Linked DNA regions of Canis lupus familiaris. The protein of the gene in region 1 purifies or fractionates together with the protein of each later gene. This does not show direct contact. Links are inferred from orthologs where the notes say so. Each region holds a gene or a part of one and is shown in the gene's direction. Other genes may lie near its edges. The genes, in order: ZNHIT2, ECD and TSSC4.

What was found.
Region 2: the proteins of ZNHIT2 (region 1) and ECD purify together in Homo sapiens (affinity purification with mass spectrometry; 3 studies listed by BioGRID and IntAct, counting the BioPlex papers as one, with this or other methods). This does not show direct contact. The link is inferred for Canis lupus familiaris from reciprocal best matches to the Homo sapiens genes ZNHIT2 and ECD.
Region 3: the proteins of ZNHIT2 (region 1) and TSSC4 purify together in Homo sapiens (affinity purification with mass spectrometry; 3 studies listed by BioGRID and IntAct, counting the BioPlex papers as one, with this or other methods). This does not show direct contact. The link is inferred for Canis lupus familiaris from reciprocal best matches to the Homo sapiens genes ZNHIT2 and TSSC4.

The regions. Positions count from the first base shown.
Region 1 is NC_049239.1:52,580,008-52,587,591, forward strand, and holds ZNHIT2 (zinc finger HIT domain-containing protein 2), read left to right. Parts: upstream 1-3,822; 5' UTR 3,823-3,888; coding exon 3,889-5,082; 3' UTR 5,083-5,125; downstream 5,126-7,584. Other genes in the region: FAU (ubiquitin-like protein fubi and ribosomal protein S30), read left to right, coding at 63-188; delta(14)-sterol reductase TM7SF2, read right to left, coding at 5,464-5,624, 5,898-6,020, 6,105-6,185, 6,416-6,584, 6,672-6,791. UniProt on the Homo sapiens protein: May act as a bridging factor mediating the interaction between the R2TP/Prefoldin-like (R2TP/PFDL) complex and U5 small nuclear ribonucleoprotein (U5 snRNP).
Region 2 is NC_049225.1:24,455,996-24,463,801, reverse strand, and holds part of ECD (protein ecdysoneless homolog), read left to right. Parts: intron 1-5,254; coding exon 5,255-5,361; intron 5,362-5,492; coding exon 5,493-5,676; intron 5,677-6,987; coding exon 6,988-7,055; intron 7,056-7,806. UniProt on the Homo sapiens protein: Regulator of p53/TP53 stability and function. Inhibits MDM2-mediated degradation of p53/TP53 possibly by cooperating in part with TXNIP. May be involved transcriptional regulation. In vitro has intrinsic transactivation activity enhanced by EP300.
Region 3 is NC_049239.1:46,927,258-46,935,578, forward strand, and holds TSSC4 (protein TSSC4), read left to right. Parts: upstream 1-3,645; 5' UTR 3,646-3,933; intron 3,934-4,659; 5' UTR 4,660-4,763; intron 4,764-4,933; 5' UTR 4,934-4,953; coding exon 4,954-5,916; 3' UTR 5,917-6,178; downstream 6,179-8,321. Other genes in the region: CD81 antigen, read left to right, coding at 12-116, 531-632, 1,123-1,209, 1,291-1,353; TRPM5 (transient receptor potential cation channel subfamily M member 5), read right to left, coding at 7,288-7,394, 7,681-7,735, 8,012-8,084. UniProt on the Homo sapiens protein: Protein associated with the U5 snRNP, during its maturation and its post-splicing recycling and which is required for spliceosomal tri-snRNP complex assembly in the nucleus.

The DNA.
Region 1 (7,584 bases):
ATTAAGACTGAGGGAATGCATGAAAGGTCAGCCAAGGTTTGATCATCCCTCCCTTTTCCCAGGTGGCCAAACAGGAGAAAAAGAAGAAGAAGACAGGCCGAGCCAAGCGACGAATGCAGTACAACCGACGCTTTGTCAATGTTGTGCCCACCTTTGGCAAGAAGAAGGGCCCCAATGCCAACTCTTAAGTCCGTTGTAATCCTGGCTCTCCCCAATAAAGCCACTTGGTTCAGTCATCTCATTGTTTCATCTTCACACGCAGAGCCTCAGGAAGATACACAGATACACGGTTTCTAGGGCTGGTGTGTTCATTAGAACATTGAGGCCTGAATCTTAATTCTTGCCACTGTCAAGTTGGAAGATGCAGGGGCTCTTGGCTAGGATGGAGAAGAAATGATAAACTCCATAAGAAAAGGCTTACCATGAGAATTGGTAATCCAAAGATAGTAACTTAAAGATATATTTACTTGAGGGAGGGGCAGAGGAAGAAAATCTAAAAGCAGACCCCCATCTGAGCATGGGGTTGGACACAGTTCCATCTCAAGATCTGAGCTGAAACCCAGAGTAAGACGTTTAAACAACTGAGCTGCCCAGGCACCCTGTTCTTGTTCTTTAAACAGACAATAACAATTCTCAGGAGGATTATGAAGACATCAGTAGAGGAGTTTGAGTAAAAAGACCTATCAGGGAAGGCTAATCTGACCTTTCCTGAACTTGAGACCAGCTATGACTTTAATGGAGTCCAGGGCAGGGATCTAGTCTGTACCTATTTGGGAAAGTGTGGGCCAACCCTATTGGGTAGAGGCCAGTGCCAGCCCTAAAAGAGTTTGCCTAGGGCAGAACAAAAGAAATACACAGGTTGAATACTCTGGAGGGGGGGGGATCCCTGGGTGGTGGCGTCAAAGGAGAGACTTTCTGCCAGGAGGCAGTGGGATGGCCTGTAGTTAAGGGAGAGGGGTGGAGTTAGGGGAATGTGTGGAACTTTTAGTAGCTATCCCTTGTAAGCAGCTCATTGGTCAGCTAGGGCTATGGTGATGTGGATTGCTAATGGGCCTATTTTGGCCCGGTGGTCACTATGGGCCCTTCTACCTTATCCGGGCTTCCATTGCTCAAGCCTGTTGCCTAAAAGTAGTCTCTAGAATGTTGCCTGCCTGATTATGTTAACACTAAGCTTGTTTGTACCTCCACCTGACTAGCTAGCTTCCTTAACCTAATCACAGCTTAGGATGGTGGGTTGGTTAGTTGAGTGTTCTGGGAGTGGAATTCTCTGGGACTCGTGAGGTTCCCCTAGTAACATGGATCTCCTCTCATTTTGCTAAATTTTTTATGCTGCTGATTCTTGAAATACAGTGTAACATAAGTAAAGACCTTAGATCCGGGCTTGGACTGCCTTGAATTTGAATCCTTCCTTCTGATTTTCTGACCTTAAACAACTTACTTGATTTCTGCCATCACAGCTTGAGAGTTGCTGTGAAGAATAAAAGATATGAAGGGCTTAGATTCAGAATCCTCCAGCTAGCAAATGTGCAAACATATAGCCTATTTTTATCTCTAGTAATCTTTTTAAAAAGAGACCTGGTGGGCAGCCCCAGTGGCCCAGCAGTTTAGCGCTGCCTTCAGCCTGGGGTTTGATCCTGGAGACCCGGGGTTAAGTCCCACATCCGGTTCCCTGCATGGAGCCTGCTTCTCCCTCTGCCTGTCTCTCTGCCTCTCTATGTCGTGAATTAAAAAAAAAAAAAAGATTGAAATATTAATGGTGGTACAATGAAAGGGACTGTGGAGTTGGACAGACATCCTAGGGAAGGCCTCTGAATCTGGGGTGTATGAGGCCTGAAACCTATCAGATAATGGAAGAGGTCCAGCCCAGGGGACTGTGTGCAGAGCTGTGTGGTTCATCAGACATGGAGAGGAGGAGTTCAGGTCTGAGTCCAAGTGCAATGAAGAGTTACCAAGTACAGGGAAGGGTTTAAGCCAGGGCCTGATGTGATCATGTGATCTGACTGGTGATCCAATTTGTGGCTGATTTTTCTGAACAGCTGGCAAGAAAGGGAGCCAGTTAAGGGACTAGTAGCTGAGACTGGTAATGGGGATGTAGAAAATGAAGGGACTTGAAGGTCATCAAATCCATCCAGATCTTTTTTTTTTTTTTAACTTTTATTTATTTATGATAGTCACACAGAGAGAGAGAGAGGCAGAGACCTAGGCAGAGGGAGAAGCAGGCTCCAAGCACCGGGAGCCCAACGTGGGATTCGATCCTGGGTCTCCAGGATCGTGCCCTGGGCCAAAGGCAGGCGCTAAACCGCTGTGCCACCCAGGGATCTCCATCCAGATCTTGATAAATAGATGATCCATGTAGAAATAACGACAAGGTATTATGAAGGTCGAACTTACTGGGATGGGACTGTTGTGCCCAAGATTGTGAATCCGAGAAAACCACCAAGGAGCTGACACGGATGCAAGCACATAAGGGTTTATTAACAAGCTTGAGCTTGGGTCCAAGTATACCTGACACAGTGAAGCAGGGACTTGGACCCTGAGGTGGGTTACAGCTGGGTTTCTATGGGCTGGTCTAGGGGTAAGGGGGGGGGTTTCAGTAAGGGTGGGGGTGTGAGAATCTCCAGTAAAGAGGTCTCACAAGCTCTTGCTTCCTTATTCTTTTTTTTTTTTTTTAATTTTTATGTATTTATGATAGTCATCAGAGAGAGAGAGAGAGAGGCAGAGACACAGGCAGAGCGAGAAGCAGGCCCCATGCACCGGGAGCCCGACGTGGGATTCAATCCCGGGTCTCCAGGATCGCGCCCTGGGCCAAAGGCAGGCGCCAAACCGCTGCGCCACCCAGGGATCCCTTGCTTCCTTATTCTGATAAGGGCATGCTTTGTGGTTTTTTTCTGTAGCTGGGGTAGAGTTCAGTACCTGGTCACAGTGGCCTGAGATGGCTGCCCAAGGTGCAATGGCTGTACTTGTGCCAATGTTAAACTTGAATGGCCCTAATTTTCTCGGCCTCCACAGGACTAGATGTGAGGGACTAAAGAACCAGAGCTCACTTCCCCGGGTGCCATGGATCAAGGCCTCAAACGAAGTTCCATCAGGCGAGGGATCCCATCTCTGCTCCTCGTGTTTTGGCACATAGCATGGATTCGGTACTAAAAGTCGGATGAACCGGGGCAGCCGGGCTGGCTCAGCGGTTTAGCGCCGCCTTCAGCCCAGGGCGTGATCCTGGAGACCCGGGATCTAGTCCCACGTCGGGCTCCCTGCATGGAGCCTGCTTCTCCCCCGCCCCCCCGTATCTGTCTCTCATAAATAAATAAATAAACAAACAAATAAATAAATAACATCTTTAAAAAAAATAAAGGTCGGATGAACCATGGATTTGGAGGGGAAACCAAACAGGAGCTCAGTTACCTGTTCTTTCTTCTCAAGAGGGGAAACACCTCCAAAAACAGAGTCTCGGCCACGTAGTCCATATTCACCCTATTTCTACATCTCGCTTTACTGGTCTCTGTCCCGTAGGAGAACGGCTGCCCCTCAGCTCAACACGCCTCCTTCCCCAGGGCCCTGCGCAATTAGTGGCCCGAGTAGGGCCTCACGAAGATCGACTCCCCAAGGGCGTTTTATAGCGCTCAAAAAGGAGCCACTGGGGGGCGGGCGGGCACCAGCGGAGCTCCGGCTGCGCACCAGCCCCCTCGACCCACGCCGGCGCCGGCTCGAGCGCTACTAGATAGAGGGGTGGGGCTTGGCCACCGAGCAGGGGCGGAAGTTGCCGAGAGTCCTCGGGGGCTTTGACCACGCCCCGTCGGCCTTGCCCGGAGGCGGAAGTAGCCGGTTAGCGCCGGAAGTTGCCCCGCGCGGCCTGAGAGCGTTCGTAAGCGGCGCGGGGCGCCCGTTGCCATGGAGCCGGCCGGGCCGTGCGGTTTTTGCCCGGCCGGGGAGGCCCAGCCCGCGCGCTACACCTGTCCTCGCTGTAATGTGCCCTACTGCTCCCTGCGCTGCTACCGGGCGCATGGCACCTGCGCCGAAGACTTCTACCGGGACCAGGTGCTGGGCGAGCTTCGCGGCCGCAGCGCCTCGCCCAGCCGTCTGGCCAGCGCCCTACGCCGGCTGCGTCGGCAACGCGAGACCGAGGACGACCCCGAGGACGCAGGCCTCAGGCCTGGCCCGGCGCCAGGCGGGCCCTCCAGACTCTGGGAGCTACTGGCCCCGGCAGAGAAGGTGGCCTTCGAGCGGCTGCTGAATCGTGGCGAGGCCGGGCGGCTGCTGCCCCCATGGAGGCCGTGGTGGTGGGGCCGCGGGGCTGGGCCGCGGCTTCTGGAGGAGGTGGGTGATGCTGCGGACCGTGACCCTGCGGAGCTGGAGCCCACCCCCGCGAGGACGCCCCCGGAACCCGTGAAGGAGGCCGCCGCTGAGCCGTTTCTCGAAGACCCTCCCGAGGCCTGCGCGCCCGCCGTGCCCACCCGGATCCCCGTGCTGGCCAGTCTGAGCCGCGGCCGGGCCTCGCCGCTCGTGCGCTTCCAGCTGCCCAACGTGCTGTTCGCCTATGCGCACACTCTCGTCTTGTATCACGGCGGCGACGAAGCACTGCTCTCTGACTTCTGTGCCACACTGCTCGGCGTTTCCGGAGCCCTGGGTGCGCAGCAGGTCTTCGCCTCTGCTGAGGAAGCCCTGCAGGCCGCAGCCCAGGTGCTGGAAGCGGGCGAGCATCCGCCTGGGCCCCTGGGCACACGGGGTGCCATACGCGAAGCCGCCCGCATCCTGATGGGTGAAAGCCCCGCCAACCGGAAAGGCTACACGCTGGCAGCCCTGGGGCACCTGGCACAGACCCTGAGCCAGGCCCGGAAGCAAGCTGTGGCTACGGAAGAGCGAGATCGCCTCTATCGGGCGCGGAAGAAGTGCCAGTTCCTGCTGGCTTGGAGCAATGAAAATGAGGCGGCCCTCACATCCCTGGCTCTAGATTGTGCAAGGGCCCATCGAGCCCATGCTGTGGCGGCCGAGGAGGTGGTAGCCCTCACCGAGGAGTTGGAGCAGCTTTGGGGAGGACCCCTGCCACCTGCTCCAAGAATTCTCATTGAGGAGCTCCCTGGCTGAACTGGGATCTCTTTGTCATTAATAAAGCTGGTCTTCCCTGTCAGCAGTGCCTGTTTCTGAGGAACAGCTCTTGCCCACCCCACCCCCAGACTCTTGGGCCCATAGACCACTTCAGCTTTTCCTGGATCAGAGCTTACCTAGAAAGTTTTAAACGCCCTGGCCCCAGAAAGGGAGGGAAGTGGTACCATGGTTTCTAGATGTTTATCCAAGGAGAAAGAACAGCCCCTCCACTCCATTTTTGGGCACTGGCTTCATTTCTCCTTGCTCCAGAGCACCTCTCCCGGGCTGTTCATCCCTGCTTGTTGGAGCTTGGAGCAGGGTAGGAGTCCAGTCTCCTGGTGCTGAGTGCACATGCCCCAGTCTGGGGTGAGTGGAGCTGCTTCAGTAGATGTAGGGCAGGATTCGGTAAGGCACACGCCGACAGTATTCATGCCAGGCCAGGCCATACTTCTGCAGGCACTGCTGCTCATCCCGAGCCTCACGGTGTACCAGTAGTGCCGTGAAGTAGAGGAGGTAGAAGTAGGGTAGCAGGTGAGACACTCCTGTGGGGAAGTAGAGGCTGTGATCGCTCAGCAGCCCCTCCAGTTCACAAAGACTTCCACATCTAATGGCTCATAGGACATTGGGGCTGTGGTGAAAGGTCCAGCTCTGCAGCAAGGTGCTGGCACAGCTACGCAGTCCATTCCCAGCCTCCTGACTGCTCCCTCTACTAGGGTGTATCCCTGTTCTCCATTCCACACCCAGACTGAGCATCCTGTGATCACCACCTCTGTCCCTGACGTGGTCCCTGTTCTGTGCCCACCCATGCCACTCACCACAAGGCAAGGACCAGGCCAGAGCCATGATGAGGTCTCCAAGGTAGTTGGGATGGCGGACCATACCCCACCACCCAGACACCAGCAGCTGTCGCCCGGTGGCTGTGGGGATGGTCTCAAGGTCTGAGGAAAGACAGGTAATGGGATGAGGGAACCTGTAGGAAGCCCTGCTGCACCACCTCGTAGCACCCTAGAAACCCAGCTCACCAGCCACTCTGGGGTCAGAAGGATTCTTTCGGAAGGTGTTCTTCTGGGAATTAGCTCCTCGGAAGATGTAGTAACCAACAGCTAAGGGAAAGCGTGAACAAGTGGTCAGGGTTAAGGTTTTTAGCCTACTACCTGACTGACCATCCACCCACAGCCCAGATTCAGTTGGCCTGGAGACCCAGGACCCAGTCCTCCCCGCCCCCCACACACCTCCACCCCTTCTTAAGGAAATGCCTGAGGCTTAGTACCTACCGGGTACTGAATAAACAACATGAATGAATGAAAGGGGTAGGAGCCCCTTCATGACTGACCATTGATGAGGCAGATGACTGAGGCCACAGGCAACCCCAGGGGCTGTGGGTGGTGCAGCAGGAATTGGGCCTGCAGGCTGTAAGTGAAGGGTACCCAGGCTAGGTCCCCAAAGGCCAGCATGAAGCCAAACCCATCATGTGTGATGTCCATGGTGGTGAGAACAGCTTCCTGCAGGGATGAGACCCAGAAACACTAGCTTAGTCCCCATGAGGTCCTCAAACACCCTCCCTGCCTCTTCACCCCATCCAGCCTCACCTCATGCCAGAGAGCATCACCCACATAGAGTAGCTGGAAGCCATTGACCAGCCACATGGCCAGTGAGGGACTCCCCCGAAGTTCTGCTTCCTGCATCAGCATGGCCAGGTTGATGAGGACCTGGGGTTGTGGGAGAGGGAGGACAGGGCAGTCTGTCCCCAGCCTATCTCCACAGAGGTGGCAGCACCTAGATGGGGCAGTGGCTTATCTGTCTTGGTTCTCAGTCACCAAGTCCTGGGCCCTTTATTGAATGGATCCAGCCCCTGTACAAAGACCAACAGATGCTTCCAGAGGTGCAACCTCCTGTTGGCTCTTGCCTTGTCCAGTAATGTTCCTTTGGGGAGAGCAACATAGAAAGCCACTGGACATTTTAGGCTTGAGGATGAAAACAGACCTGGTCTTAAATCTCAGCTCTGCCACTTCGGCAAGTAGCTTACCCTCTCCAAAGACACTTTTCCCCCATCCCATGTGGGAAATGAAAATAATCATGGACCTGCATCACAGAGCTGAGGACTCATTGACATGATGCATGGGCAGCACGAAACATGATGTGTCCAGCACATACTCATGATTAGCCAGAGGCCGCCTCCATTCTGATATCAGTGGGTTTGGTGCTGTCATTAATACGACCACTTCTGATCCTCACAAGAACCTTCACAGGAAGGTCTGATCCCATTTCACACATGGGGAAATCACCTCAGAGGCCAGGATGCAGATCCATGGTGGATACTTGGCTTCCTCTCACCTCTAGTTTCTAGGATGACATGAGCACCTTGCCCAAGAGACCCTTGGGAAATCTTGACCACAGTCCAGCCTGGGTGGTGTTAACCCAAAACCACAGTTGGCATGACATCAAGGCCACTAGTGATGGACAGCTTGCTATGCCCAGTGATCTGTCTCAGGTTCTGCACTG
Region 2 (7,806 bases), on another chromosome or scaffold:
ATAAATAAATAAAATATTTAAAAAATAGAGCTCTAGTAGAAAGCTTCAGTCCTACTAAGCTCAGGAATCAAAGGTCACATTTTGAATATTGAAAAAAATGCAATTGATGTTAGCAAAATTGAATGAGATACTCAAAGCTATTGAATAACATGAAAGAATAGTTTTGTATGTATTACATTTAAAAGGTCCCAAGTTGTGTGTGTTTTTCATTTTGTTATTGGGCTATTTTTTTTTTCCAAGTAAAACTTACTGGTCTTGACCTCCAGTCATTTTGCTTATGTCTCAGACGTCACTTATTTATGTTCTTTGAGGACTGATGAAGCAAAGTTGATACTGAGAGAACTCTAGCCTCAGTTGTCTATGAGATAATAATGACTTTACAGCAGTCCTTTCTTTCAGGAGTGTCTGTGTATGCCTTTGTCCCATTCCCATCAGTTTTATGGCAGTAATTGGTGATAAAAAGAGAATTCATTCTTAGGGTATCATTTCAGAAAACATGGGAAAGAGAGGGGAGTAAAATAGGTGGCCCCTCATGGTTAGAAGAATCTCCCCCAGACGATTCCCATCTGCCTGAAAGGGCCACTCTGCCTGTGGAGAAGTTACCTTACAGACCTGGGTTAAAGAAATGTTAAGAAATTAGACAGACTCATATATTAGTTAGGGCTTGCACAAAACAAGATAGATTGGTGGCTGGGTAGCTTTTTTAAAATAATGACGTTTGTTGTTATAAAAGTAGCACATTCATTCATTATAGCAAATACAGAAAGATGTAATAAGGAAAAAATTTATACCAGAGAGTCAACCACTATTACCATTTTTATCTATTGCCTTCCAGGATTCTGCCCCCCATATCCATCTAGTTATTTTTAAAACATTTTTATACTATATAAAAATTTGTGTTCTGTCCCTAATTTTTACTCATTATAATCTTACTTTTCCCCATGACATTAAAAGGTCTTTATAAGCATAATTTTAAAGAGCTCCACAACATTTCAGCAAATTGATGTATCATAACTTACCACATTTTTACTACTGGAGAAAGAATTATAAGTAACTTACATGGCCAGCATTTTAAATAGTGTTGCAAAAGAGACTCCCATTCCTCAAACAAGGAAAACTTCTCAACAGTTTAAAACCAAACTCACATCTCCCACCAAAACCTATTCTTGAATTCCCAGTGTTGTTATTGTTGTTTTTTAAGTACCTGGATTAATATCATAGACTGTTTCCCACTTCTTGTCACCTAGACTCCCTGGCTCTCCTTGTATCCAGTCCCTTGATCCTTTTTATTATCATGTTGTATCTTGCATTTTTCTTTTTTTACCACCCACTTACTCTAATTACTTCTTTTTCTTTTTTTTTTTTTCTTACTTCTTGAATTATGGCAATACCTACACTTGTTTCCTAACCTCTAATGACTCTTCTCTTCCAAAGCAACCATTAGAGCCAGGAGAATATGCCTGAAATATATCTTCAAACATCTTTAATCCCTTTCCTAAAAATTATTAGAGATTGTAACAATGAAAAATTGAACAACGTAAGTATCCATCGATAGTAGATAAATGAATTGCAATGTATTTGTATGATGGACTACTATCCATTAGTTAACCAGAGATTAGCTAAATGTACGTAAATCTAATCCAGGATTTCTCAACCTTGGCACTGTTGACATTTTGGATCAGATAATTCTTTGTTGTGGAGAACTGTTCTGTGCATTATAGGATATTTAGCAACATCCCTCACTTCTACCCAGTAAATGCCAGTAGCACTCCACACCACCTCCAATTGTGACAACCAAAAATATCACCAGACATTGCCAGATGTCCTCTGGGAGCAAAATTATCCCCAGTTGAAAACCACTGATCTAAATAAATAGATTTTGAAAACATGATGTTGAGTGAAAAAAGCAAGTTGTAAATATGTAGAGTATGGATGTTATACATATAAAAATGTTTAGTACACAAAATGCCATATGTTATTTATGGATATGTATATATCCATTCATTCAACAAATATTTGTTGAGTATCTCTTATGTATGTATCTCCCCAATTCCAGGCACTGGGGATATAACAGGTGAACCGGGAGTCTCCCTGCCTTATGAAGCTTATATGCTAGTATAGGAGAAAGACAATAGATGTTAGATGGTGATAAGTGCTTTGAAGTAAAAACAGTATATGAGGAGAGGGATGAACAGGCTGCTATTCTAAAGATTGATTGATTGATTGATTGATTGATTTAGAGAGCACAAAAGGAAAGAGGGGGAGAGGAAGAGAGAGAATCCATAAGCAGACTCTGCTGAGTGTGGAGCCTGATGTGAGGCTCAGCTTCATGACGCTGAGATCATGACCTGAGCTAAGACCAAGAGTCCGTCCCTTACCCAACTGAGCCACCCAGGTGCCACTATGATGTCTGAGATTCTGTTTGAGAAGGGATATAAATGAAGTGAGGGAATGAGGCGTACAGGTATCTGAAGGAATAAAATTCCAGAGAAAGAGAACAAACAGCAAACACAACATAAATACATGTGTGTGCACTCAATGGACCAGAAGGATATTTGCAAGAGCAGTCACCTCTGGGCAGTAATGAAATGGATTAGAACTGATAGTGTTGGTTATCAAAGGAAAAATATTAGCTGTAACTATAGTCATATATATCATTTGTTTAATTTTTTATGCTAAATATATAAGGGTAATCAGTCATACCTTTAGACTAGAAGTAAGTATAACAATATAATTCTAGGTAGTAGGGATATGATCATTTGTTATATAATCTTTTTTTTTCTGTGTCTTTTGGACTTGTCTATATTATTTAAATCTCTTAAAACAAAAATTAAAAATAAAAAAGAAGCCATCAGTGATCACCCACGGCTTATTTCATTGAGTCCAAACTTAGCCATTTCAGGCTCACTGTGCTCTCATCCCAGTCCATCTGTTCAGCTCATCCTCCATGCTTATGCCAAACTGAACATTTGCTTTGTGAACACACTCTGTACTTCTTTGCTTTTATTACAGATGCTCATTTCCCCCTTTGCCTGAAGTTCTTCTACCCTGTCTTATTTGTCAAAATCTTCCCCGTTCTTTTTGTTTGTTTGTTTTTTAAGATTTATTTACTTAAAGAGAAAGGGAGAGGGTGTGTGAGCAGGGGGAGGGGTAGAGGGAGAGGGAGAGAGAATCTCAAGCTGACTCCCCACTGAGTGCAGGGCTCAATCTCATGACACAGATCATAACCTGAGCTGAAATCAAGAGTTTGGACACTTGGGACGCCTAGGTGGCTCAGCGGTTTAGCGCCTGCCTTTGGCCCAGGGTGTGATCCTGGAGTCCCGGGATCGAGTTCCGCATCGGGCTCTCGGCATGGAGCCTGCTTCTCCCTCTGCCTGTGTCTCTGCCTCTCTGTGTGTGTCTCTCGTGAATAAATAAATAAAATCTTAAAAAAAAAAAAAAAAAAAAAGAGTTGGTTGCTTAACTGACAGAGTCACCCAGGCAGCCCCTACCCCATTCTTTAAGGCCTAACTCAACTACTTCCATGGTCTTTATCATTTTTTTTAAACTTTTCTGTAATTAATATGATTAATTACTTTCTCCTGTGACTCTTCACAGCATTTGGTCCAGCTCTATGACTGGTGTTCCATATGGCCTCCTGCAGAACCAAAGGTTACATGGATACATGTAACTGGTGGATACATCTCTGAACCTCCATACTCCATTTCAGTCTTAGCAGTTTTTCTTTTTCAGTTTTATTGAGATATAATTGAGGAACAAAATCATAAAATATTTAAAGTGTACATCATGGTGACTTGATATATGTACACATGGAGGGATCTAGTTAATTGGCAGTTCCATCACCTCTCATATTTATCTTTATGGTGGGCAATGAGAACATTTAAGTTCTACTCTCTGAGCAGATTTCAATTATATGATACAGTGTTATCAACTATAGTCACCATGCTTTAAATTAGATCCTTAGAGGTATTTAGAAACTTTGTACCTTTTTACCAACCTCTCCTTATTTTCCTCACTCCTTAGTCCCTCTCAACTACTTTTCTACTGTCTCTATGAGCTTTATTTTATTTTTGAGATTCCACATATGTGTGATACCATGTGGTATTTATCATTCTCTATTTGGTTTATTCCATTAGCATAATGCCCTCAAGTTCAATCCATTTCACAAATAACAGTATTTCCTTCTTTCACATACGTATTTCTCTAGATAATATTACCTTTTATTTAATATAGCACATCTCCTTTATCCAGTCAACCATTGATAAACACTCACGAGGTGGTTTTCAGTATCTTAGCTGTTGTGAGTAATGCTGCAGTAAAGGGAATTGCAGGTATCTCTTCAATATTCCTTTTTCATTTCCTTTAATATATACCCAAAAGCAGAATTGCTGGATCGTATGGTAATTCTATTTTTAATTTTTTAAGAAACCTCCATACTGTTTTTCATAGCGGTTGCACCAATTTACATTCCCACCAACAGTGCATGAGGATTCCCTTTTCTCCACATCCTTACCAACTCGCTTATCTTTTTGGTAATAGCCATTCTGACTGGTGTGAAGTGAGGTCGTATCTCATTGTGATTTTGATCTGTATTTCCTGATAATTAGTGATGTTGAGTGCCTTTTCATGTACCTGTTGACCATTTGTACATCTTTGGAAAAATATTTATTCAGGTCCTCTGCCCATTTTTATTTTTTTTATTTTTTATTTTTTTTTTAAGATTTTATTTATTCATGAGAATACACAGAGAGGAGACAGAGAGAGGCAGAGACACAGGCAGAGGGAGAAGCAGGCTTCATGCAGGGAGCCTGACGTGGGACTCGATCCAGGGTCTCCAGGATCACACCCTGGGCTGCAGGCGGCGCTAAACCACTGAGCCACCGGGGCTGCCCCCTCTGCCCATTTTTAAATCAGATTGTTTTTTACTATCGAGTTGTGTGAGTTCTTTATATATTTTGGATATTAACCCTTCATCAGATGTATGATTTTGCAAACATTTTCTCCCATTCAGTAGGTTACCTTTTCAGTTTGATGATTTCCTTTGCTGTACAAAGCGGTTTTCTTTGAGCTCTTTTTATATTTTAGAGTTCCTGGTAAAATTTTATTTGAGAAAAAGGGGTCTGTAACCTAAAACAATTGTTTAAAAACAAATTAATTAGATAATTCCTCCCAGCCTTAAAATACTATTTTTTTGTGACTATTATTCAGCACTGTCTTATGAAAAAATCCCTATGTCTTTTTTTTTTTTTTATAGCTGTCTTGCTATGAGCCCAGGTGAAGAAATCTTAACCTTATTACAGACCATGCCATTTGATATAGAAGAGCTTAAGAAGGAAGAAGCTAATCTTCCCCCAGAAGATGGTAAGTGATGGACCAGGATAGAGTTAGGATTAGGGAAAATGAAAATATTCCACTAAGTCTACAGGGCACTTCTCTGAGAATACTTGACATGCGAATTTGGTATGGCAGCATCATGTTTTCTTCTTTTTCAGATGACCAGTGGTTGGATCTCTCACCAGATCAACTGGACCAACTACTGCAGGAAGTTGCTGGCAAAAAAGAAGCAGAGCCCACTTCCAAGAAGGAAGAACAGAACTATGACTTAAATCAAGTCTCAGAAAGTATGAAAGCTTTCATATCCAAAGTCTCAACCCACAAAGGAGCAGAGCTGCCTCGGTAATTTGTGTTAGAATATAAATATCTAAGTAGCTAGAATGCAGGTGTTGAAGTCATCTAGTCATTGCCATTTCCACTCTTTTATTTTTCTTTTCAGTAAATGATTTGTACTTCTGTGTTTCTTCTTTTGGTGCCTAATACCATGATGAGTTATCTGGAGTTGTATTTCTAATAGCCTGATTCTTTGCAATTCTTAAAGTAAGTCAGACTACTCAACAGATCTAAAAGCTTCCATCCCAGAGCTGTGCAAGGAAATCGTACATTTTACTCTTTAAACTTTTACTCAGAATCTTACGGACTCCTAACATCTAGCTCTCAGCAAATCCACACTTCCAATCTCCCACCCCACAAGCAGATTGGAAGTTTCATATTCAAAAGAGGGAGATTAAAGAGCTCATCAGAGAAGAAATAATAACAGAAGAAATGGGAAGTTACATTTGGCAAGTAATAGAAAAGTAAGGTAGATGGAATTGTCACTTAAACAGCAAATATATCTTTATTCGTGTTGATGCTCTTGAGCCTCATAAGATTAAAATTTATATTCTGTATTCTCTCTTTAAGAAAAGAGATTGGGTAAGGGGACGCCTGGGTGGCTCAATCAGTTAAGTGTCCAACTCTTTTTTTTTTTAATAAAGATTTTAATTTATTTATTCATGAGACACACACACAGAGAGAGAGAGAGAGAGGCAGAGACACAGGCAGAGGAAGAAGCAGGCTCCATGTAGGGAGCCCGACGTGGGAGTTGATCCCGGGTCTCCAGGACTAAAGGCGGCGCTAAACCACTGAGCCACCCAGGCTGCCCAAGTGTCCAACTCTATTTCAGCTCAGGTCTTGATCTCAGGGTTGTGAGTTCAAGCCTCCACACTCAGTGTGGAGCCAGCTTTTAAAAAAAGAAAAAGCAGAGATAAGAGAAAGTATGTTCTTACTTTTAAAAGTTTAGTTCTTAAACAAATAGACTTTCTTAAAATTAACTCAGATATGTGATTTCGCCTGCTGATGGTGTGTGTGTGTGTATGTGTGTGTGTGTGTGTGTGTGTGTGTGTGTGTATCTTGTGGGAAGTGCAGGGTGGGTAGGTCCCTGAATCAGCATAAGTTAAATATGCATAAACAAAGTGAAATTTTTACTTTTATTTATCAGTCTTTCCCATTTCTTTTGCTTTGCAAGACCATTTAAACTACAGTTTTTCTTGCTCCACTTATTTTGAGATCATATCTATGGTAGTGTTCCTAAGAATGGCACTGCCTTAAAAAAAAAAAAAAGTGCCAGAGAGTTGTATTCAAGATAAATGATTTTTTCCTTTAATCTTACAGAGAACCTTCTGAGGCTCCAATCACTTTTGATGCAGATTCTTTTCTTAATTATTTTGACAAAATTTTAGGTAAGTTACATTGTGATGTTTATTTTCATTTTGAAATGGTAAATAGCAAAGCTGTTGCTAGAGCACTGGAGCATTGGATCTCTTGAAGTCAGAGTATTTGCTTTTGCCTCATGATTTTGAATTGCTTTCAATCATAAACTTCTGCCCAGTTGAATGATTTTGCAGAGGATGCTTAGCTCAGTGCCTAACATACTAGCTGCTCATTGAATATTTGTTGAGTGAGTGAATGCTGTGGCTAGATATGGTTTTGCCTTGGGTTCCATGTTATACTGTTTTTTCTCTTTTAAACTTACTGTACTTAACACTAATAATAAAAAGACAAATAGCCCAATTTTTTAAAAGATTTTATGTATTTATTTCATGAGCGACACAGAGAGAGGCAGAGACGCAGGCAGAGGGAGAAGCAAGACCCCCCCGAAGGGGAACCCGATGTGGGACCCGATCCCAGGACCCTGGGATTACACCCTGAGCCAAAGGCAAATGCTCAACCCCTGAGCCACCCAGGCATCCCTAAATAGCCCAATTTAAAACAAAAACAAAAACAAAGAATATAAATAAGCAATGCCTTGAAGAAGAAATATAGACAAATAAATATTGGAGAATAGTTAACTGTTTCTAATAAGTAAATACACAATGCAAAATAAGAACTTATTTTTTTGCCTATTATATTGGCAAAGATTTAAAATATTCACAATACTGAGTTTTCTCAAGAGTTGAAGAAATGGGGATCCCTGGGTGGCGCAGTGGTTCG
Region 3 (8,321 bases), about 5.7 Mb from region 1:
CCTCCCCCCAGATCGCCAAGGATGTGAAGCAATTCTACGACCAGGCTCTGCAGCAGGCCGTGGTGGACGACGAAGCCAACAATGCCAAGGCCGTGGTGAAGACCTTCCATGAGACGGTGCGGCAGGGGGTGCTGGGGGTGCAGGAGGGTTGTCCTCCGTGAGTGAGGCCTGGCTGGGGTTGAATCTGGTCTCCGTGGGGCACTGGAGACCTGGAAGCCCTTCTCCTGGAGGGCCGTGGAGCCCTATCTGGGACCCCCCCCCCCCCCCCGCCCAGGGGATTGTCTGGGACCTGCAGGTCCCCTGTGTGAGCCAGATGGGCAGTAGGAAGGCCTGGGTGTGGGGGTCTCTGAGCAGCACAGCCAAGGGTGGAGGGGATGAGGAGTCCTGGGCTGTTCTTCTTGAGGAGCAGACCCTCCCTGGCTGGGGACACCCCTGGGGCTTGGGCAGCCCACGGGGTGTATGTCCCTGGCCGTGTCCCTGTGGTCCTCTGTGCACACGGCCCGGGCTGACCGCAGGTGTCCTCCGTGCAGCTCAACTGCTGTGGCTCCAGCACGCTCTCCGCGCTCACCACCTCCATGCTCAAGAACAGCCTGTGTCCCTCTGGCAGCAACGTCATTAGCAACTTGTTCAAGGTACATGGAGCCCACTGGGCCGCCCAGGGTTGGCCCCACGTCGCGTCCAGCAGCCCAGCTGGGTTGGGCCCCTGGCTCTGCACACAGCACCTTCCGTTTCCACATCTGCTTTATTTATTTTAAACATTTTGAGAGAGAGAGTGAGCGAGAGGGAGAGGGAGAGAGAGAGAGAGAGAGAGAACACGAGCAGGAGGAGGGGCAGAGGGAGAAGCAGACTCCCTGCTAAGCAGGGAGCCCAACATGGGGATTGATCCCAGAACCCGGGACCTGCCCTGAACCCAAGACAGATGCTTCACCCGCTGAGCCTCCCAGGCGCCCCCTCCACATCTGCTTTAAAATGGACGTGAGATAACCTGGCAGAGACCAGGCCCTGGTGGCACGTCTTCAGGGAATCGAGCCCCTCCCTTCTCTTGCCACAATGACCCCGAGCCGCTGCACTGAGGGGCCCGAGGGCCTGCACTCCTGACCGTCGGCGGGCTGTCCCCCACAGGAGGACTGCCACCAGAAGATCGATGACCTCTTCTCGGGGAAGCTGTACCTCATTGGCATTGCAGCCATCGTGGTGGCCGTGATCATGGTGAGTACACGGGCCAGGCATCCGCGTGAGGCGGCCCCACAGTCTCCGGGTGCTGACAGTCCCACCCACCCGTCCCCACAGATCTTCGAGATGATCCTGAGCATGGTGCTCTGCTGCGGCATCCGGAACAGCTCCGTGTACTGAGCGGCCCCGGCTGCACCTGCTGCGGGGAGGGCCGCTGGGAACCCTGCAGGGCCCCTAGAGTGACCGGACATTCTGAGGAGGGGCCGTCAGCGCCTGTGTATATAACTTCTCTGGTATTACTCTGCTACACTTATTAGCCTTTTTACTTCTGAGGTTTTCTGTCCTGAAGTCCCCCGTTACCTTTTGGGGCTGAAGTCACCTAGAGACGGCGTGTGAGTGGGCCTTGGGGACCGTGAGGCAGGGGCCGCTCTGCTTCTGCAGCTGCTTGGGGGCTCCGCCTGCTTAGTCAGGCCTCTCCCGGGGGCCCGGGGGCCCCGGGGCCCACCCACCTGCCCACGGGCTGCACGGCTCATGCCTTTTAACCCTCGTTCCTGTCGCCACTTGTCCCGAGCCGGGTCTGCCAGCAGCCTTCACCTTCAGTGCACCTGTCCTCTCTAACTCGTCACCTTCAGCTGTAATTACATCTTCAAAGTCATTCAATAAAGAAGGAAAAACCGGGCATGCTAACAAACTGTCTGGCCCCTTCCTGTGGCTGCGGCGTCTGAGACCCAGGGCGCAGCTGGAGCGGCAGGTGGGCCGGCATGGGTGAGGCTTGGCTCAGCTCCGCGGACCTTGCAGGGTGTGAGGGGCCCCTTTGGTGGGCCCGGTGCCACCGTCAGCAGCTTCCACCCAGCTCACTCCCCTACCCACTCTGTGGACACCACTGCCCAGAGGGGGCACTCAGGTAATGTGGCGTAGAGCCTGCAAGACTCCCCTCCATCCTGGGGGCCCGCTCTGTAGAGGACAGGCACACTGACCCTCCCATGCTCCGAAGGGACTCTTCAGAGCTTCTAGGTGTTCCGTGGAGAAGCTGGGGAGCAAGGTCTCAGCCACTGTGTGCGGAGTCCACCCGACCCACCCCCGTCCTGGACCGGGGCCCAGCTGCCTCCTCCCACCCCCACCCCCTCGGGAGTGCTGGGTGATGTCACCATGAGCTGAGTGCAGGCACTGACCTGGTGTATGCTGAACTGGCCCCTTGAGGCCATGAGGGCCTGGCTGGGATTCATGTGGAGGGCTGACAGCTGCCTCCCTTGGCGCTTGTTTTGGAAACTGGCCCCAGCCCTACTTTTGGGGTCATCAGGTCTCAGTGAGGTCTGCCCCTCCTGCCACACCCCTCCACCTTGTGTGCCAGGGTGGGTCCCTGAGAGAACAGAGTGGCCCAAGGAGCAGCCCTGCTTACTTGCCCCTGCACGACCCTGGGGATCCTGGCCTGCAGGCACAGCACAGCCAGTCTGTGCTGGGGAGACCGAGACTGGGGGCGCCCCCAGGAGGGCGGTTCCCTGGGGCGCCCTCGCACAGCGGCACACTGCAGCTGCAGGCGGGGCTGGGGGGCTGGGGGGCCCCCAGGAGGGCAGGTCCCTGGGGCATCCTCACACAGCAGCACACTGCAGCTGCAGGTGGGGCTGGGGGGCCCCCAGGAGGGCGGGTCCCTGGGGCGCCCTCGCACAGCAGCACACTGCAGCTGCAGGCGGGGCTGGGGGGCCCCCAGGAGGGCAGGTCCCTGGGGCATCCTCACACAGTGGCACACTGCAGCTGCAGGCGGGGCTGGGGGGCCCCCAGGAGGGCGGGTCCCTGGGGCGCCCTGGCACAGCGGCACACTGCAGCTGCAGGTGAGGCTGGGGCGCCCCCAGGAGGGCGGGTCCCTGGGGCGCCCTCGCACAGCTGCACACTGCAGCTGCTGGCGGGGCTGGGGGGCCCCCAGGAGGGCGGGGTCCCTGGGGCATCCTCGCACAGCGGCACACTGCAGCTGCAGGCGGGGCTGGGGGGCTGGGGCATCCCGACCTAGCTGCCCGGTGCTGCCGCAGGCCATGCTGGGCGGCCCCGGAAACGAGGGGTCCGCGGGCTTCCCGAGCACTCCAGGACCGCGGCCCCGAGAGACGCGGCCAGACCGGCCGTCAGGTGGGCAGCACCGGCCGGGCCGTCGGGACCGCGAGCCGAGCGCTCAGACGGAACCCGGCCCCCCCCCACCCCCTCCCCCTCCCCCTCCCCCGACCCACGAGCGGGCGGCCCGCACTTCCGGCCTGACCGGAAGCACCCGGCGACGATGCCGCGTGCGACGATGCACTTCCGGCCTGAGGCGGCCGCTGTGCTCGCGACTTCCAGCAGGCGGCGCTGGGGCCCCGGGAACGCGGCGCTGGCCGTTAGTCCTGGAGCATTCTGGGAGTCGCAGTGCTGCCTCTTCCTCCTCCTCCTTTCCCTCCTCAATTCCGGCTCTTTGCGCGAAGGAGAGCCGACGTTTCCGGGGAGGGGGGAGGCTAGGGAGAAAAGCGAGGACGCATGCGCAGGGGCTACGGGACCCGACAGGCCTCGGGAGTAGCGTCCCGGTGCCTTGTGGGAGGTGTAGTTCTTCAGGTGCGGACGCCGAGGCGCCGGGCCGGCGGAAGACTCGGTTTCCCAGGAGGCCGAGCGCGGCGAAAGATGGAGGCGGCCCGGCGGCTTTGAGCCGGTAGGCTTGTGGCGCGGGAGAGAGGTCGCCTTTTCGCAGCCTCCTCGCCCCACATCCCCGAGGTGTTTCGCGTCTTTGGTGGCTCCCCGAGCCTGGTGAGCCGCGGCCCGCGTGCGGCCAGGCCCCCGCCGGGGCGGAGACAGCCGGCGCCGGCTTCCACGGGCGGCCGAGCGCGCCCCAGCCCTGCCCCGGCCGAGCCGCCGGCCTCCGCGGAGAAGCCCGGGAGCCGCCGCGGCCGCTCGCTGTCGCGGGGCGCTGTGCCCGACCCCGGGGCGCCCGCCGGCCCGGCCGCCCCCCCAGGTCGCGGCGGCGCCCCGCCCTCCGGAGCTCCTTCCCTCGCGGGGACGTGCCAGGAGAGGCTGCTGCCGGAGCCGCGGGCTTGCCCTGCCCGCAAGGATGCCCCGGGCGGCCGCTGACCCCCCACTTCCCCGCGGGCCTGACGGTCAGACGCGGAGGCCCCGGCTGCAGACCCGCGTGGAGTCCCGGGGCGTCTGGGCAGGCAGGGGCAGCCCTTGCCTTGCCCAGGCAGGTGGCGCAGCTGTGCCGAGCAGCTCGTGGACGGGCCGCCTGGTCGAGCGCCGTCGTGGAGCGCAGAGCCTGCTGCTGCCCCCGGGCTGGGCCCTGGCTGCTGCCTGCCTAACCCCCAGCGGGCCCCTAGACTTAGCTCAAGAGGGCTGAATGAAGATCTTCCCGAAGGGTCTGCGTCCAGGCCGGCCTGGGCCTGGGCCCCGGAAACCCAGGACCGCCCCCTGGGGGTCGCGGTACCGCTTTGCCCTGGTGCTCCCTGACGATTTGCCCTTCCCACCTTCTGCCCGCTACAGTTGAGCAGCTAAGCGGAGCCGGGACTGAGGCCACCGGGCGCCTTTGCCGGGACTTCACCCACCAGAATTCTGGTGTCTGCACAGACGTTCATCAGACAACGGAGGTGAGACGTTGAGGGGGGGGCGGGTGTGGGAATCTCTGTCCTTTGTTTGGTAGGACATAGCTCTTCCTTCTGGCCCTGCCGCCTGCCCAGGGACTGTGGGTTTATAGGAGGGGCCCGTCCTAAATGGGTGCAATCCTCAGAAACGAACTCTTTGGGCTGTTCTGGTCTAGGTGTGGTGGCCCTGGGACACATGTCTGAGGTAGGGGTAGGAGAGCCCCTGGAAGCCGAGCGAGGAACAGAGGATGACGCTCTGCCTTCCGACACCGTCTCTCTCAGTGACTCGGACTCCGATTTCAGCTTGCCTGGCGGTACTGAGATGGAAGCTCTGCCCCCGGGGGTGCTATCTGGGGAGGCCCAGGGGGACTCAGACCCCGATGAGACCCCTTTGCCTCCAAAAGGCCTCCCCACAGCCTCAGTACAGCCCTTCCACCTGAGAGGCACGAGCTCCACCTTCTCCTGGCGCAGCCGCAACATCTTTGACTGCCTGGAGGACGCAGCCAGGCAAGACCCGGGTGACCATGGGGATTTCATGCAGCCACCAGCATCCTCACACCAGCGTCCAGGAGAGGGCCCGGGCAGGGCCAGTCAGAGCCCTGCCCCCACGAAGTTGCCCCCCATCCCTGACTACATGGCCCACCCTGAGCGCTGGACCAAGTACAGCCTGGAAAACGTAGCCGAGGTCAGTGAGCAGAGCAATCAGGCTGCCGCCCTGGCCTTCCTGAGCTCCCAGAGCCTGGCTGGCCCCAGAGACTACATGCCGTCCTTCAACCAGGATCCCTCCAGCTGTGGGGAGGGAAGAGTCATCTTCACCAAACCGGCCCGAGCTGGCGAGGCCAGGCCTGAGAGGAAGAGGGCCCTGAGGAAGGCAGGAGAGTCAGGCAGGGGTGCCCCTGGGGACCTGGGAGCAGCAGGGGGCGAGGGCCCTGTGGAGCTGGCCCACCTGGCAGGGCCTGGGAGCCCAGAGGCTGAGGAAGAGAACAGCCCCCACGGGGGGCTACAGGAAGTGGACGTGCCACAGGGGGCTGCCCATGCTAGGTCAGCGGTGGGGCCCCCAGTGGTGGAGACTGTTGGCTTCCATGGTAGCAGGAAGCGGAGCAGGGACCATTTCCGGAACAAGAACAACACACCTGAGGCCCCAGGTGCAGAGATTTGAGAGAAGAGACTGCCTGGCTGGCGTTTCCTGACCATGCGGTGGAGGAGGGCAGCCGGGGTCACTGGCCACTTGGAGTGGAGTGGAGCTTGGGGCCCCCCGCCCTGGAAAGGGAGCCAGCGGTCTGCCAGTGTGAGGCGCCAGCAGCCTGGGCTAGGGCTCGGGATAGTGGTCTCTGAAGCAGACAGCTTGCCAGTGGACAGCAAAGACCCTGGCCCACCACATGCCTGTGGGGCCACAGTAAAGGTTTTGGGTGTTGCTTAGACTTTGTGTGTGTGTGTTTGTGTAGATCCTGCGCCTCGGGCCATTGTCTGCCATGCTGTACACCCAACACCCGGTTCTCTCATTTGAGCCTCTTCAACTTAATCTCCAGTGGGCATGGAGGCTTTTTAAATGCTTGCCTGGGTTCACCAGCAGGCCCTCTTTCCAGCTCTCCTGATCCAGAGCAAGAGGTGGAGAAGGCCCCAGGCCCTCGAGGGGGCAACCTCACAGTCCCAGGTGTCCAGCTTCTGCTCCCAACAGGGTGATGAGATGGGTCTCCAGGAGGCCGGAATGTGAGTGGGGTCAGGGACTTCCTCATCCGGGCCATGTGTGATGATGACCAGTGTCCTGGTCACATCGCCAGAACAGCTGAGCCGTGTGCAGGGGCACTGGTGGTGTGACTGGCCCAACCTTGGGTTGGGGTGCATGGACCCCTGAGGGTGTCCGGGAAGGCAGACCAGACACAGATGTCTCCCTTGGTCCTGGTGGCAGGACCTAGCAGAGTTAAGCCATCCTGTCCCAGGATGTAGCTCGGGCAAGCACAGGAGCCAGCCCCTACCCCCCTCCCCAACACACACACACACACACACACACACACACACACACGGCAGGTTTTCTCAGGATAGCATTTGCCACGTGAGCAGTTGAGGGTGTGCAGGGGTGGGAACCAGTGTGTGTAGGAAACCCCTGACCCCAGGTCCTAAAGAGCAGAAGTTGTAGCTGCTAGTGTTTAAAAAAAAAAAAATGAGTCTTTTAACAGGCAACATGGGTCTGATAGGAGACAGGTACAGGCCCCAAAATTTGCCCACCAGATAAGTGCTTTGGCCTGAGCTGGGCAGTTTTGGGTAGGGGCCCACAGGTTCCACCAGTCTGGAGGAGGGCCTACCATACACCACCGTGCTTCCAGGTGGAGAGGGTACCCGGCAGGGCAAGGGGTGGTTTCTTTTGACAAGGCTGAGAGCTACATCCCACTGAGGGCTGCACTAGAGGTAGGGGAAGGTTGGTGTGTCCATAGGGCCTTGGGATGGCCAGCTAAGGGCCAAGACCCTGCCTGCCCATCCTGATCTGGGGCTCGGGGAGAGGTGGGCCCTGTGTGCCAGGAGTCCAAGTAGCTCAGGTGTCTGAGAGCGGCCGGCCAGCCTCTGGGTGCTTCCTGCTGTCTGCACCCCCTCTGTGGTCAGCAGAGGCCTGCTGGTGTCCACCTTTGAAGTTCTGGGAGTCTGGTGAGGAAGAAGGACCCCTAGCTGCTGGGTGTCCAGGGGGGTAGGCCCAGGGAAGGGAGTCTGAGTGGCCACGGCGTCACGCCTGGCTGAGGTGGTGGGCTTTGGCAGAGGGCACCTGCCCCACCCTAAAGACCACCTCCCACCAAGGGCCATCAGAGGCCTGGGCCAGTCCCCTTGCGGAACAGAAAGGCAGATGACACAGCAGAGCTTAACAGGCTTCTGCCTGCCCCCAGGCAAGCCTGTGCCCCTCCCGCAGCCCTGTCTTCTCCGGACACACACTTACTCCAGGAGGTGCTGCTCGGGGCCATGGAGGACAGGAGCACCGTACAGTAGTTGATCTAGAGGAGGGAGAACATCCAGGGAATCCCCGGGGCCCCTGCTAGCCTATGACCCTCCCCTTTGGGGTCTGTACTCGAGGGAATGGGCGTGAGAGCAAGGCTGCAGGTGTGGACAGTGAGGGATCACTTAACGGGGGCAGGTACAGCTCCTGCACCCCCCAGGGACTCTCCCTACACTGCCTCCTGAGTCCAAGCCTGACTGTGGACCTGTTAGTTGGGGTGCAGGGCTATGGGTGAGGGCCCCAGGTCAGAGGAGCATGAGGTTGGCCTGCCTACCTGTGACTCCAAACGCTTGATGCGCTTTTCTTGCTCTCTCAGGCCCCCGAGGTACTGGGCTACAGAGTCCACCCTGTAGCAGAAGCTGGTTGGCATGGGGTGCTCTCCATTTGGGCAATCTCTCCATCCTCCCTTTCCCTGGTCACCCAGGCCCTTTGAGTGGGTTTGGGATCACCGAGGCCTCTCTGCATGGAGTGGTCTGCCCTTGCCCGTCATCCCCAGATCAGGGTACAGAGCCTTTCTGCCCTCCCTGGGAGTGTGATGGGCTAAGGGGTTGCCAGTGAGGGCAGGGGATGAGGGCAGGCAGGAG